3 linked regions of the Coturnix japonica genome follow. The protein of the gene in region 1 purifies or fractionates together with the protein of each later gene. This does not show direct contact. Links are inferred from orthologs where the notes say so. Each region holds a gene or a part of one and is shown on either strand. Other genes may lie near its edges. The genes, in order: THEMIS, GRB2 and PTPN11.

Region 1 (4,073 bases):
GTAGGAACTGAGTCCTGCAGCATCACACCTGGCTGAGATTTGGGCACCTGCTGTGGCATCCTCTCCCTTTTCTCACTCTGATCACCACAGAAGGGTAGTCATAGCCAGCATTGCCCCAATTTCCCATCTAAATGGTGAGGTAGGCAAATAGAACACTTAAAGCTTTTTAGATTTCACTGGAATCACTCGCAAGATGTAGAATTGGTGAGGAAGTGTCTTTAGTGGTGCCAAGCAATGCTCCATGAATCCTGCCCAAGGAGGTTTTGGATGCCCCATCCCTGGAGGTATTCGAGACCAGGTTGGATGTGGCTCTGGGCAGCCTGGTCTGGTGGTTGGCAATCCTGCACATAGCAGGAGGATTGAAACTAGATGATCACTGTGGTCCTTTTCAATCCAGGCCATTCTATGTTTCTGTGATTCTATTATCATATACATCCCATTCCTATTCCGTAACTGCAAAGATGGGAGAATTCCTTTACTCAAAGGACATGATACCCTTTGTATGGTCTGGAGGAGGAAAAAAAAAAAAAAAAGTAACAGGGCCATGGAATTTCTGCTTTTTGGCTTTGTAGGGATGTAGAGAAAATGTGCTGCATTGCCCTGGGAGGTTGGCTTCACTGTCAGCATAGCTGTAGCTAGAACATAAAAGCTGTAATGTGATTCTATGAGGCAGCATTCACACTGCTGCATCTTGGGAAGAGGATAGCTTAATCACATAGCTCAGCTAAACCCTACTGTTTAGTCCTTTAAACTGTCCACTTCATCTTCCTCTGTGAAAACTCTCACACAAATATAGAAATGTACACATTTTTCTTGTGATGTGAGCTCCTAATGAGACAGCTCCAAGGGCCATGACTAACATGAAATAATAATGTCCCCAGGGGCTAGGGAGGCTCAGATGCAGCTTCTGCCTTACAGTACAGTATTTCCGCACTTTAATTGCATTGCTATGGCCACAGTACCCAAACTGTGAAGCACTCCATCTGATGGTCTGGACTATCAGAGTTGCTAAGACCAAGTGTTCTTGCTCGTTCTCATCTTTACATGCTACTGGTGTTATTTCTTTAAAAATGCTTATTCTTGGAATCCCCTACATGTAGAAGATGTGTTTTACTGATGTTTAAGGAGAAAATTCACCCTGTGTTTCACCGATCACATTACTGACACTCTTTTCTCATATAATGTCTGCATTTGTTTCTTAAGGCCTGGTTTCCTGAGGAAACAAATAAGAATTTAACAGAATATGTATTCTTTTTTTTTTCTTTTTTCTTTTTTTTTCTGTAGCAAAAACTTTTTTCTTTTTCAATCATAGACATAAAAATTCTGCAGCTGTAGAGTAGAACAGTCTAATTCCATCTGTCTATGCTTTGTATCACGTGGTTGATATTATCTCTATACAGTTACATTTCTAGCAACTGAACTATCTGCTTGTTGTGGTTTAACCTGGCAGCAGCTCAGCCCCTCACAGCCTTTCACTCACTCCTCTGCAGTACAAGAGCAGAAAAAAAAAGTGTAAATCTCATGAGTTGAGACAAAGGGTGTTTAATATGACAGAAAAGGAAAGAAAATAATAACAATGATAATAACGATAAAAGAATATATAAAACAAGTGAAGCGCAATGTATTTGATCACCACCCACCTACTGATGCCAACCTAGTCCCTAAGAAGCAGATACCCCTCCCAACCAGCTCCCCTCAATTTTATGGTTTTTACACAAGATGCCATATGACATGGAATGTCTTGGCCAGACTAGGTCAGATGCTTTTTTCTCTCTTCACTCAGCTCCTTCTGTCCCCTCAGCACCCTCTTTGGCAGGACAGCATGAAAAGCTGAAAAACCAAAGCATTCTTTGCTCTGTATAGGACTGCTCAGCAACAACTAAAAATATTGGTGTGTTGTCATCATTATTCTCATTATAAATCAAAAACATGGCACCATACAGGCCATAATGAAGAAAACAATCTTTATTGCAGCTGAAATCATGACACAGATATGATCAGGGATTTTATCAATCCTTGTAAGTATGTAATGAGTGAGAGACAAGTGGATGGGGCCAGGTTTTTCTCAGCTCTGTCCAATATCTTATCAATACATGTGTGAATGAATATCTTTAGTTTGGGGGTGACAGAGCACTGGAACAAGCTGCCCACAGAAGCTGTGTAGTTTCCTCTGGAGGTATTCAAAACCAGCCTGGATGCTTTTCTGTGTAACCTATTCTAGGTAGCCTGCTTTAGCAGAGAGTTGGATTAGATGATTTCCAGAGGTCCCTTCCAAACCATGTTGTTTTTGATTCTGTGGTTTGTCTTGTCTTGCTCTGCATATTTTTCTTCTTATAATGCACCTTTTCTGTTCTTAGGTCTTTATAAGATTGTGGCAGACAAAACACCATATGTCAGCGTTGAAGAAATTACAAGAAAAGTCACTATTGGGCCAACGAGATTTGGCCATCCATGTTTTTACAGCCCGGAGGATGTAAAACTGGCAAACCTCACTATCAAACAGGGTGAGCAGATCACCTTCAATTCTGTGGAAGAGATCAATGGAACAATGGCTGTGAGCTGTGTTATGGTCAGAAACAACCGGTCTCATTCCTTTATTTTGCCACTATCACAAGAAGGAAAATTCTATGAGTGTGAAGATGACCAGATATACACCCTAAAAGAGATTGCAGAATGGAAAATCCCGAAGAGCAGAAGCCGGACTGTCAAACTCTCCAACACTTTACAAATGTGGAACTCCTCTAATCCACTTCCTGAGAATTTTGGTGGCTACATGGTTCTCATGCCTGTCTATGAAGTACAGGCAGTAATGAAATGTAAGTAGGAATTAAGATCAAAGATTTGTTTACTCTGTTTACACTTAAATTCGTACAAGTTGCTCAAAATAAGCAGGAAGAATTGGTTGGTGAATAATTCCTGAGCTGTCTTTACCAGTGATACCTATTCCAAATTGTAGAAAGATAAAAACAGTATCACCATCTGTATTTCCCCATCAGATATTAATACAGATAATTTCCTAGTATTACTTTCTGTTGTCATTTTACTTAATACTAAAATAAAATCATCTTTCAAAAGGAGATTTATAACATAGTGGAAAAGCAAAACTTAAGAGTTCAGTTCAACTCTGAGATCCTCTTTCTTTGTATCTCTTTGGCCTTGGAGTGGTCACAAGATCTCTGTAGGCATTCAAGGCCAGGCTGGATGGGGCCTTGAGTAGCCTAATCTAGTGGGTGACAACCCAGCCCATGGCAAGGGTCTAGAACTAGTTGGGCTTCACGATCCTTTTGAACCCTATCTGCTCTGTGGCATTCATTTTATAAGACACTCAGCTACAGTTTGTGAACTGCACAAAAAAAAAGAAAAAGAAAAAGAAAAAAAAAAATGTTTTTCCTTGTTAAGTCAATACTGTTCTGATTGTACTACCAAAAAGTTGAAACTAGTTGTTACTGTCCTTACTAGTGTTTATAGCTATGCATTACTTTGAACTGAAGTTAGATGTTATGGAAGGATATAAGTACACAATGAAAGACTCCTATTTTACGGTAGCTTGAATAGCTGAGCTGCAGCAATGACTCGTGTGCTTACACAATGCACTGATGAAAGTTCCTCCCTAATTTAAAAACAAAACAAAACAAAATTTAAAAAAAAAAACAAAAACAATAAACAGAATACCAGCAGCTTATGCTAAAATACTTGACTTTGCTTGAGGACAGCAAAGGCAGTAGGTGGAAAGTGGCTGCAGTTCTTGTTGATTTATCCACAGTGTTAAAGTTGGGTAGGAACTTAGTTTTTGGGAAGCTGAGCTGTCTGTTGCTTTTACTAGAAGCACATCAGAAAGCACAGAAATGAAATCCTGAGAGAAATATGTCATTCAGGAAGATATTAAGGAGGATATTTTTACTATGAAAATTCCTCTGGGTGATGGAATATGTTAGGAGATAAAATACACAGGAGAGAAATAAAAGAGAACAGAGACTTTTGCACAGTATACCATAGCTGCTAAACGCTTTTCATGAGATATTCCACTCTTCTTGCTCTGTGATTTAAAACTTTGGAAAGTATATTTTCACCAG
Region 2 (4,871 bases), on another chromosome or scaffold:
AATATACAGCCATTTGTTATGACCAACAAATTATTCTCCCAGTTATTAAGGATATTTTATAAAACTTTATGAAATAAAAAGAACTCTATTCGAGGACAGATGTTGCATGAGTTAGTAAGACTGTATCCAGGTGCTCTATAGGTTATTTGAGGCTATACTGCCAAGTTAAGCCCTAGTGCACAAAACCAACCCTTAATCTCAAAACAGGAAGTCCAGAAGAAAAAGCTAAGGGAAAAATCGCTATCTTAGAAACTCACATTTAATGCTTGACCCAAAAGGTTTAGAAGAAAGACGAGCACGGATGTTAACCTGACTACGGGTTACTCACAACCTTTCGTACCTTAGGATTGGACTTGAAACCCTAAAATCCTTTTGCGGAGCGTTTAAAACACGCCCCAAGAACCATCCCCCCTACACACACCCCCCCAAAGACGCAGCCCCAGACCCCAGTCGCAGTCCAGCTGGGGGCCTGAGCAGCGCCTGACCGAACCCTCCCCAGCAGGCAGCCCCTGAACACAACGGGAGCTCGCTCGGCCGCCCAGCCAGCGCCTCAGCGAGCAGCGCCTCGGGAAGCCCGAGCTCAGACTCGGGCCCGCAGCCTCGGCACCGCGGAGCACGGAGAGGAGGCGGAGCCGTGCGGAGCGCAGGCCGCGACGGAGAGGGCCGCCCTTCGCCGACGCTCGGCGTCCCGGGAAGCCGGGCCTGTGCCGGAGGAGCCTGCCGCTCACCGGAGCGGGTCGAGGGCGGGGGGATCGGCGGCCCGGCGCCGGCCCGCCACACGCGCCCCCCCCCCGCTTCCCCCGCACTCACCGCGCAGCGCTGTGGGCCGCCGCCTCTCCCGAGGCTTGCCGTCGCCCGCTCGCCCCTCCAGCGCCGCCCCGGTCACCGCCCGAGCTCCAGCCCCGTCCCGCGGCTCCCCCTCCGCCCGCTCCGCCGCCGCCACCGTCCCCTCGGCAACTCTCGCGAGAGCGGCCCTGTCACCAACTCGCTGCTCCGCCCGCCGCGCTGCGGCGCATGCGCGTCCACCTCCCGCGTGGCAGACGGGCAGCCCCCTGCGCGCACGCGCAGCTCGCACCGGCAGCCGGGACCGGGCTGCGCGGGGCCGGTAATGCGCTGTTGTATGTGCGCCTCTGCTGGACTGAGCGCGGGGCGCCCTGCACCGCGCAGTGACAAGCACATTCGGAACGTTACTGCTACGGAAACTGCACCCGAGCATGAACGCTGCGATCCTCGGAACTGGGAGGGTGCAGAGATCCACAGCTGGAGCTCTGCAACCGGCTGCTCCGAGCTCTGCAGGGGAAAAACAGGCCTTACAGTGTGCGCAGGGCAGGACCCAGAGCGCACGTGCCGTCACCCCAAGGTCTCATTGCACAGCATTCTTAGAATTCCTTTAGCTCCAAGAGCCTGCAATTAAAATACTCAATTCCTCAATAACACAAGTGCATGAAGAATATTTCCTCATGCTCTAGGGAGAAAAGCTATTTCTGAAACAGGCTTTCCAGAACCGCACTCGCAATCCTAGAAAAAGGCTTTTTTAAAAACAAAAAAACAAAACTAACGACAAAACAACCCACCATCGCGTGCCAGTTTCCCAGAACAAGCACTGACCAGCCACGAGCAAATTACTGACGGTTCTCTCCCCATAGAGGGTGGAGAAAAAGAGCCCTGGGAGCTGAGGATGTTCCACGTGTTTCAGGCATTGTTTGTGAGGATGCACAAGTCGTTTATCGGGGATGACAGACTGCTGCAACCACAGCTCGACTCCAACATGTCTCCAGTCTCGCGCTAGCACCGACCTCGAGTCTCTGGTTTCACCATCTGACTTCAAAGGGAAGATTTAGAATTTCTCAGTAAGTTCAACAACAATCGCAGCAGTGACAGCAGGTACTTGTCACAGGACTTGAACAACCAGACATGGCCAACAGCTGCCACATGAACCACGGCTACTGTAAGAGGCTGTAGCTGCCCGACTTTAAAAGGGCAGCCCTACAAGGGCAAGTCATCAACAGATTTTAGAAATAGCAGAGATCAAAGTGTTATGGAAAAATACTTCTGATAAAGAAGCTGCTGAGATGCACTTACAGATCAGGGAAGGTAGATTGTTCCCCCTCCTCGCAAGCACGTGAACACTTTAAAATGTACAACTTACTGCACAGATACCAGAGCAGCTTCACGGCGACAAAAGCCGAAATCCCAGCACAGCTGTAAGCCCGGGTGGAAGACATGTTTTACTAGAGGATCGATTTCAAATTATGCGCTAGTCCAGGAATAGCTTGAATTCTCTATGACCATTTGTGGTGATAAAACAATCTAAGAATAGTTTTGAGTATTTTAAGAACTTTTAAGAGAAGACTTGGTGCCTGACACTTGGATCTTTTCTTAAACGCCTCAGAGCAGCCTAGACAAATCAATGTGTGATTTTCTGCTACTAATAGATTTTAAGACTACATCTTAAAAATCTATTCAGAACACAGAGAAAAAGTAGCTTTTATTAGTAGCTTACTTGAGACCCACGGGGAATCTGCCTCAGGAACCAAGTAATCCAGCCTCCAAACCTCTGTTCAAGATGCATCTTTAACCTCTTCTTTAAAGCATTTTACTAATTCGGTACATTTTGCTGTGGTGGTGGAACAACCTGAAGAGGAACTAACAAGAGGCTCACGCAGCACTAAGCCCACGATCTCACGTATCCCCTTCCCTGTATCGTGTCTAAACTACAGCAGAAAATCCCCCAGACCTGCCACTATTTCCTTTTAAGCGACTATGAAGGGTTACAGCAACTCATTACCACCAAAGCACAAACAATTTCAGCACCTGCAATTCATCACCAGACGAACAGCGCTTCTGTGAGGAGGATCCTCACACGGAGCAGCGCGTCTCAACCCGGGACGTACGAGCGCCGACCTACGGGGATGACGACACACGCGAACCGTATCGGCTCTGCCGGTAGCTCGGGGCTCAGCACAGCGGCACCACGCGCCGTCCCCGCGTCACCCCCGATTTCGTTCCCATATTGCGCAGCGGTTCAGATTTCTCCTCATGTTACCGGCCTCGCTGCCCCGCGGCTTCCTGCGCAGCGACACTCACCTCAGTGCTCCCGCGCTGCCTCCATCCGGCCGGTGGCCGTGACACACAGCGGCTCCCGCAGGTGCCGGCCGCCGTCCGTCCGTCTGCGGCGGGGTCAGACGTGGCCGCTCCGTGAGGAGCCGCCGCTGCTCAGGGCGACCCGCCGCCAAAGCGCCCGCTCGGCTTCGCGCGCTACTCCGACCTCACCAATCAGCGAGCGGCGTACGGGCAGCCGCCCGGGATCCCACCAACCAGATACCGGCTTCTTGAGGAAGCCGCCGCGAGTCCCCAGCGCCGTGGCGGCCCGGTTCGCCAGTGACGCTGATGGCGGCCCCGGCGGCGCTGGGAGAGGCCGGGCGGCTTCCCCGCCGAGACGGCCCGGTGCGGCTGGTGAGTACAGGCCGAGCGGCGGCGGCTGCGCTCCGTCCCGCCGCGGGGCGAGTTCGGGAGGGCCCGCGCTCCCTCAGTTGGGATATTCCCCCTTCGGCCCCGGCCCTGTATAGAGGCCCTTGCAAAGCCCTCCCTTCCCCTCGGGCCGGAGGCTCCCGCGCAGCGCCGTTACCCTCAGCGGAGCGATACCCGGCGGCTTGTGAAGGAGATAGGAGAGAAAGAAGCGAACAAATGGCAGAACGCTCCGACGCGTAGCTCCGGGGCACACGGACTCGGTGTTCCTGTCATTGAAGCGGCAGCTGGGCCCGCTCGCACGGGGCGAAACGCCTCAGCGCCCACCCGGCACGTCAGGGCTCGTGTGGCGGTCAGGCCGGTACCTGCAAACTGCCCGAGTCTGACGAGCACCTGAAGCTCCCAGCAGGGCAGGAACCCGGCGGATCCATCCTCCTGAAGCAGTTCCCAGTAGCACAGCTTCCCACACACACACAGTTTCAAAAAAGACAAAGCCCCTATGGCAAAATTGATTAAAATCATGTTGTTTGTTACAGCAACAGTAGGAACAAAATTCACAGTTGGACAATGAACAGTACAGCATGCACAAGATGTGATAATGTAGTGCATCTGTATTTCAGATTCCTTAAAAACAGAAGTGTAAACAAACTATTATTAGCTCCTGTGCTATGTTAAAGTGCACATGGAGCACAATTTAAATAACCTAGAAGGCTTAAGAGTCACATTAAGAAATCTCTATAATACAGACATACATGCTGCTGATTTATACAGGCACCATAAGTCCTTTTGGTTAGTACTTCATCTACTCAAGCTCATCAACACTATTCTTAACTTGAACCTTTTAAATAAGTGTATCACCAACACTTTATCTGATGAGGAGATAATAAATATTAGTAGCTTTAGCTTAGGTCCCAGGAACAAATAATGGCAACGCAAGTGGAACTGAGAAAACTAACCTGTTCCCTTTAATCTTAATTTTATAATCTTTAGATTTGTATTTCTCAGAGGTTATCCCTGTTTCAGATACGTTCCTATCAGGCACAGCAAGCACAGCTAAGATCAAACTGCTCAAACCAGAGCTACCCTTCAAGTAAGTGCTCACGTACTCCCACGGCTGGTGAAGTTTGCCAGGAGCCATGGGGGACTGGCCAGCAGACAAGTCCTTTGGTAGGGCTGACTAAAAACAAGGCCTGCCTGGGGTGTGGGGCAGCACTGTCCTGCTGGAACTCATGAAAATAGTAAAATATAAAGCCTGTTGAACTGAACAGTACATTTTCCACTTAAAAGTCATACTCTGTTTGAATGAATATACACATCTGATTTTCCTAATAGCATTCAGATGCTGTGCCTGTTTCTGGGGAGCTCTCAGGAAACATTCTTAGCACTATGTTTGTTAATGCTCT
Region 3 (4,073 bases), on another chromosome or scaffold:
TAAGTATCTTTCTGGCTTCTCTTCTTTCAGCTCGATTCACTGTAATGATCCTAATTCATAATAATAGAAATGCAACAGAAACAACTTGTCTCTTAGATGTGAAAGACTACACACATCTCTGCAGGAAAAACATAGCAAAACAAATCCAGATTCCCTTTTCCCACACTCATAGGATGACAGGCAATATCCAACACAACATTTAAGTCTAGGAACTCCTGAGGCTCTCAGCACTGCAATGCAGAAGGGAATGCTAGCAGAGAATCCAGGGAATTTTTTCTCTGAATACAAAGAACTCATGTCTATGTGAATGGATGCAGCTATGTGTCCATACCCATTGCTTCAGCACAGCTGTAAGTGCTACATTATATCATATCTTTATTTTTTCCTCCAGGATGTTACTTCCTATACTCAAAGTGTTGCTTTTATCTGAAAAGTATTATTGTGCTTTATTCCTGCATCTGCCACCAGCCTTTAGGTTCAAGAATTCATGATGTAAAGCAATGCTCTATTGCAACTTCAAGAAACTTTTATTCTCACGCCTCTTGAGCTAGTAACACAGTAAAGGATGAAACAACTGATCACTGTAAGAGAAATGCACTGTTCCTCTCAATACCAAAGTATAATTCAAAACCACATTACAGCAATCAAGAAGTTACAGATCTACTTTATAAATGGTGGCAGCAGAAAGAGACTATATTCAAAAGCTGAGGATACAAGGCTTGTGCAATCACACACAGATGTGAGGAAGCTCTAAAGTGAAGTGAAACAAGCAAGCCAGAAAAAAAGTACACCTGAGGGATTTCATGTTCTTCTCTTTGAGTCTAATCAGCATCAAAGCACACAACAGGCATCCTGGGGAAAAGAATAAAGACTCCATCCTCTGTTGAACGGTGCATCTACATGATGCTGGCAAATATAAAACAAGTTCTGTCACACTCCAAAGAAGCCAGAAGCCACACGAGAGTGCCAAGACTGAGCTGGCACACCCTACCTCTAAAATAGGGCTTAAATCTCACAACTGGCACTGAACTAACAATGAACATACGGCTTTCCACATCTGCCTGATGATCTGCGTGAGTTTATCTCCTGAGCAACAAGGCAGCAGAAGATACTGAAATTCTGAAAAAGATAAGTCCCAGATGACCAGAAAAATAGAGAATGAAAGCAATAGTGGACAGAAAGTTAGTTCTTTATCACAAAACCATGCATCTTCTGTACAAGATGGTAGAATTAGATGGTACCTGAACAGAAAGAAGTGTGGAGGGGTGTCTTGCAACTGTCCTCACATCCCAAGCTTTTTCATCACATGCTTTACAATCCTTCAGATCAATATACTTCATTCCACATAACCTAACACTCAAATTTCATTGCCATATTGGCAGTCAAGTCTCCAAGTCACAAGCAGCAAATGAGCAACTCTGCTCCCTGCTCCAGTGATAACATATTCCTACATAATTTACACTTCAGATGAATATACCTGTTCCTCTTCAATCCTGCGCTGTAGCGTTTCAATGTAGTGCTGCACTGCCATGTAAATAAATCTGTACTGTGCTTCTGTTTGAACCATTCCTGACCGCTGTGATCTCACCATCTGAATGGTCTTGGGAACATCAATATCACAGTCCACACCTGTGAAGTAAAAATAACCATGAGGTTAGAAGCAAAGTAAACTTTGCTTTTGGAGAGATTGGTCTCCTCTATATACAATGAACAGACTGACAGCCACATACTCATGAAAGATTTAAACAAATAATTAAATACAAATATTAAGAAAAATAACACAGATTCCTGGCTAATCCTCAGCTGAAAGTTTTCATCATCCTGACCTAGAGCAGGATTTCAGCACTTTGATTCCAACTAAGAAGAATGACAGAGTCCCTTTTATGCTAAACAAGTACTCACTCTAAAACAATACTAGAATCCTCTGTCAACATTTCTATTGTTTCTACTGTAATGCTTCTGTGACCTATGTCAATGTCCCAGCAGAAAACAAAAGGCTGAGGACACCTACCTTTTTCTCTGATTATGTCAATAAGAATATCAATCACAATGAAAGTTCCTGTTCGTCCAATCCCAGCACTGTGGAAAAGAACAATGATAATTTTGCTGTGAGAAGGCACTAGAACACTAACCTAAGTTAAGAGTACAACACTAAGCAGCATTAGATTTCCAGTTTCCAGGTAAAGCCAAACCAAACTACACAGACAAAAGAAAACAGAGGCCTATATTTTCAGAGAGACAGAAGTAGGCAGAAGTCACAACAGCATTTTCTGTATCTTAGTGTTTATTAACAACCTTGGATCAGACAGAACTAAAAGATCAAATGTTTCCTTGCCTTATTGAAAACAAAAATTCAGACATTAAAAATGAGGAGTGATATCTTACAGGAGGTGGGATGGTAGACTAGTATTCCCATGATCCCAAGCAATACATCAATAGATGTAAAAAAAAGAAGCCAACAGACCTCCAGAGAAGCAGAAGCATTCTGCATCACTGTACCTGCAGTGGACCACAACTGGTCCTGCATCAGAAATGCTTTCTTGCTTATGGTGCACCTCCTCGAGAAAGTCCAGTACACCACCAGGATCACTTGGGACTCCATGATCAGGCCAAGTTCTGAAATGATATTGCCAGACTGTTCTCTCTGTGTTCCCCTAGAAGGAAGACATCAACATGTGAAAAAAAATCCTTCTGATCAAAATTCAACTAAGAGCATTACTTCAGCAAAGTTGAGTCAGATCAGAAGGCAGTGTACCCAACCCTTCTACTCAATATCTGTGGCACTACAGCTCAGTTAAAGAAGGAAAGAGTTTTTCTTGGCCTGACAAGTCAATCACACTACCTGCTCCCACTGTTCCCTCTTTGTCTCATTTAGCGATTTCCAATATTTCTGTCTCACCTTTAGAAGGTAAGGAAAAGCTCTGTTTCTTAACAACAAAGTGCTGTTCCCACACAAATTCACTGCTTCCTTCCTCATTTTACATGTCTTCACTTAAGAGCTCTTTCTAGATTCTGGACTCCCATACAACAGTTCCTTCTAGTACAACCACCTCCACGAAAGGGCAGATAAATGCTTAGCTAGACTAAAGTATGATTACTTAAAAGCACTTTCATGCTTCTTTCCAGACTTCCTCAAAGCTCTGCAGTCATGCATCTTCTGCCAAAACAAAAAAGTGCTCAGGTATAAGAATCTTCAATTAGCCCAAGGACAAAGGGAAAGATGCATGGAGCTAAAGCTGGAACTTCAAAGAAAGAGTCAAGGCTCAATTTATTCATCTTTTAGTGCTTTTATTGATTCTGCAGAAAGAAGAATCTGCATTTTTTTTTACTTGCAACCTAGATTAAAAGGACAGAGCTACTAACATACTTACTTGCCCAACTTTAGAAAGCTTAAGTTCTCTTAGCGTGTAGTCATGTGCTGCGCTCTCCTTAACGTTCCTCACACGCATAACACCATACTCCTTTAAGGAATATTCATCAGGCCAGTACTTGACACACTTACTCTGCAAGATTCAAAGCAAACAAACAAGACTTTAAAGAGTAATCCACAAGAAGGCTGCTTTGTGAACCGCTGAGCACTTTCCTGAAGTTTTCATTTCTGAGAACATCTAAGACAACACCAGCACCAACTGGACAACATCAAATGACACATTAAAGTATGTGTGAAGGGAAAGTTTCTTTTCTATATCTCAAATAAGGAATTATTTCAGGAAAAGTGGTACATGCAATCTCTCCTTTCAGCAGCTTTCATGATTTTAGTACCAGTTTTGCCTCATAGTTGCAAAGCCCTGGGATTGAAATGCAGTTACCTATACCTCCACCCAACTATTTGTTTCAAAATACGAAGAATTTTCAGGGGAATGCTGCAGCTCCATATGCTGCTCTAAAATCAATACCTAACAGGCTGCAAAACAAACGCAAGTCAAAGATATAAATCATTTTTAACAGGAATGCAGCTTGGACATTCGCTTTTTCATTGCTTAGAATCAGGGAAAAAACGGGCTAACATAGCTCTAATTCAATCACCAAAGCAACACAGAACTGCTCCCTTTGACAGACGGCCTGATGCATCT

What was found.
Region 2: the proteins of THEMIS (region 1) and GRB2 purify together in Homo sapiens (co-immunoprecipitation; 6 studies listed by BioGRID and IntAct, counting the BioPlex papers as one, with this or other methods). This does not show direct contact. The link is inferred for Coturnix japonica from reciprocal best matches to the Homo sapiens genes THEMIS and GRB2.
Region 3: the proteins of THEMIS (region 1) and PTPN11 purify together in Homo sapiens (co-immunoprecipitation; 3 studies listed by BioGRID and IntAct, counting the BioPlex papers as one, with this or other methods). This does not show direct contact. The link is inferred for Coturnix japonica from reciprocal best matches to the Homo sapiens genes THEMIS and PTPN11.

The regions. Positions count from the first base shown.
Region 1 is NC_029518.1:53,533,362-53,537,434, forward strand, and holds part of THEMIS (protein THEMIS), read left to right. Parts: intron 1-2,357; coding exon 2,358-2,816; intron 2,817-4,073.
Region 2 is NC_029533.1:9,419,311-9,424,181, forward strand, and holds the start of GRB2 (growth factor receptor-bound protein 2), read right to left. Parts: upstream 3,243-4,871; 5' UTR 3,088-3,242; intron 940-3,087; exon of another isoform or gene 811-939; intron 1-810. UniProt on the Homo sapiens protein: Non-enzymatic adapter protein that plays a pivotal role in precisely regulated signaling cascades from cell surface receptors to cellular responses, including signaling transduction and gene expression.
Region 3 is NC_029530.1:5,554,809-5,558,881, reverse strand, and holds part of PTPN11 (tyrosine-protein phosphatase non-receptor type 11), read right to left. Parts: intron 3,504-4,073; coding exon 3,372-3,503; intron 2,655-3,371; coding exon 2,500-2,654; intron 2,080-2,499; coding exon 2,012-2,079; intron 1,630-2,011; coding exon 1,478-1,629; intron 1-1,477. UniProt on the Homo sapiens protein: Acts downstream of various receptor and cytoplasmic protein tyrosine kinases to participate in the signal transduction from the cell surface to the nucleus. Positively regulates MAPK signal transduction pathway. Dephosphorylates GAB1, ARHGAP35 and EGFR.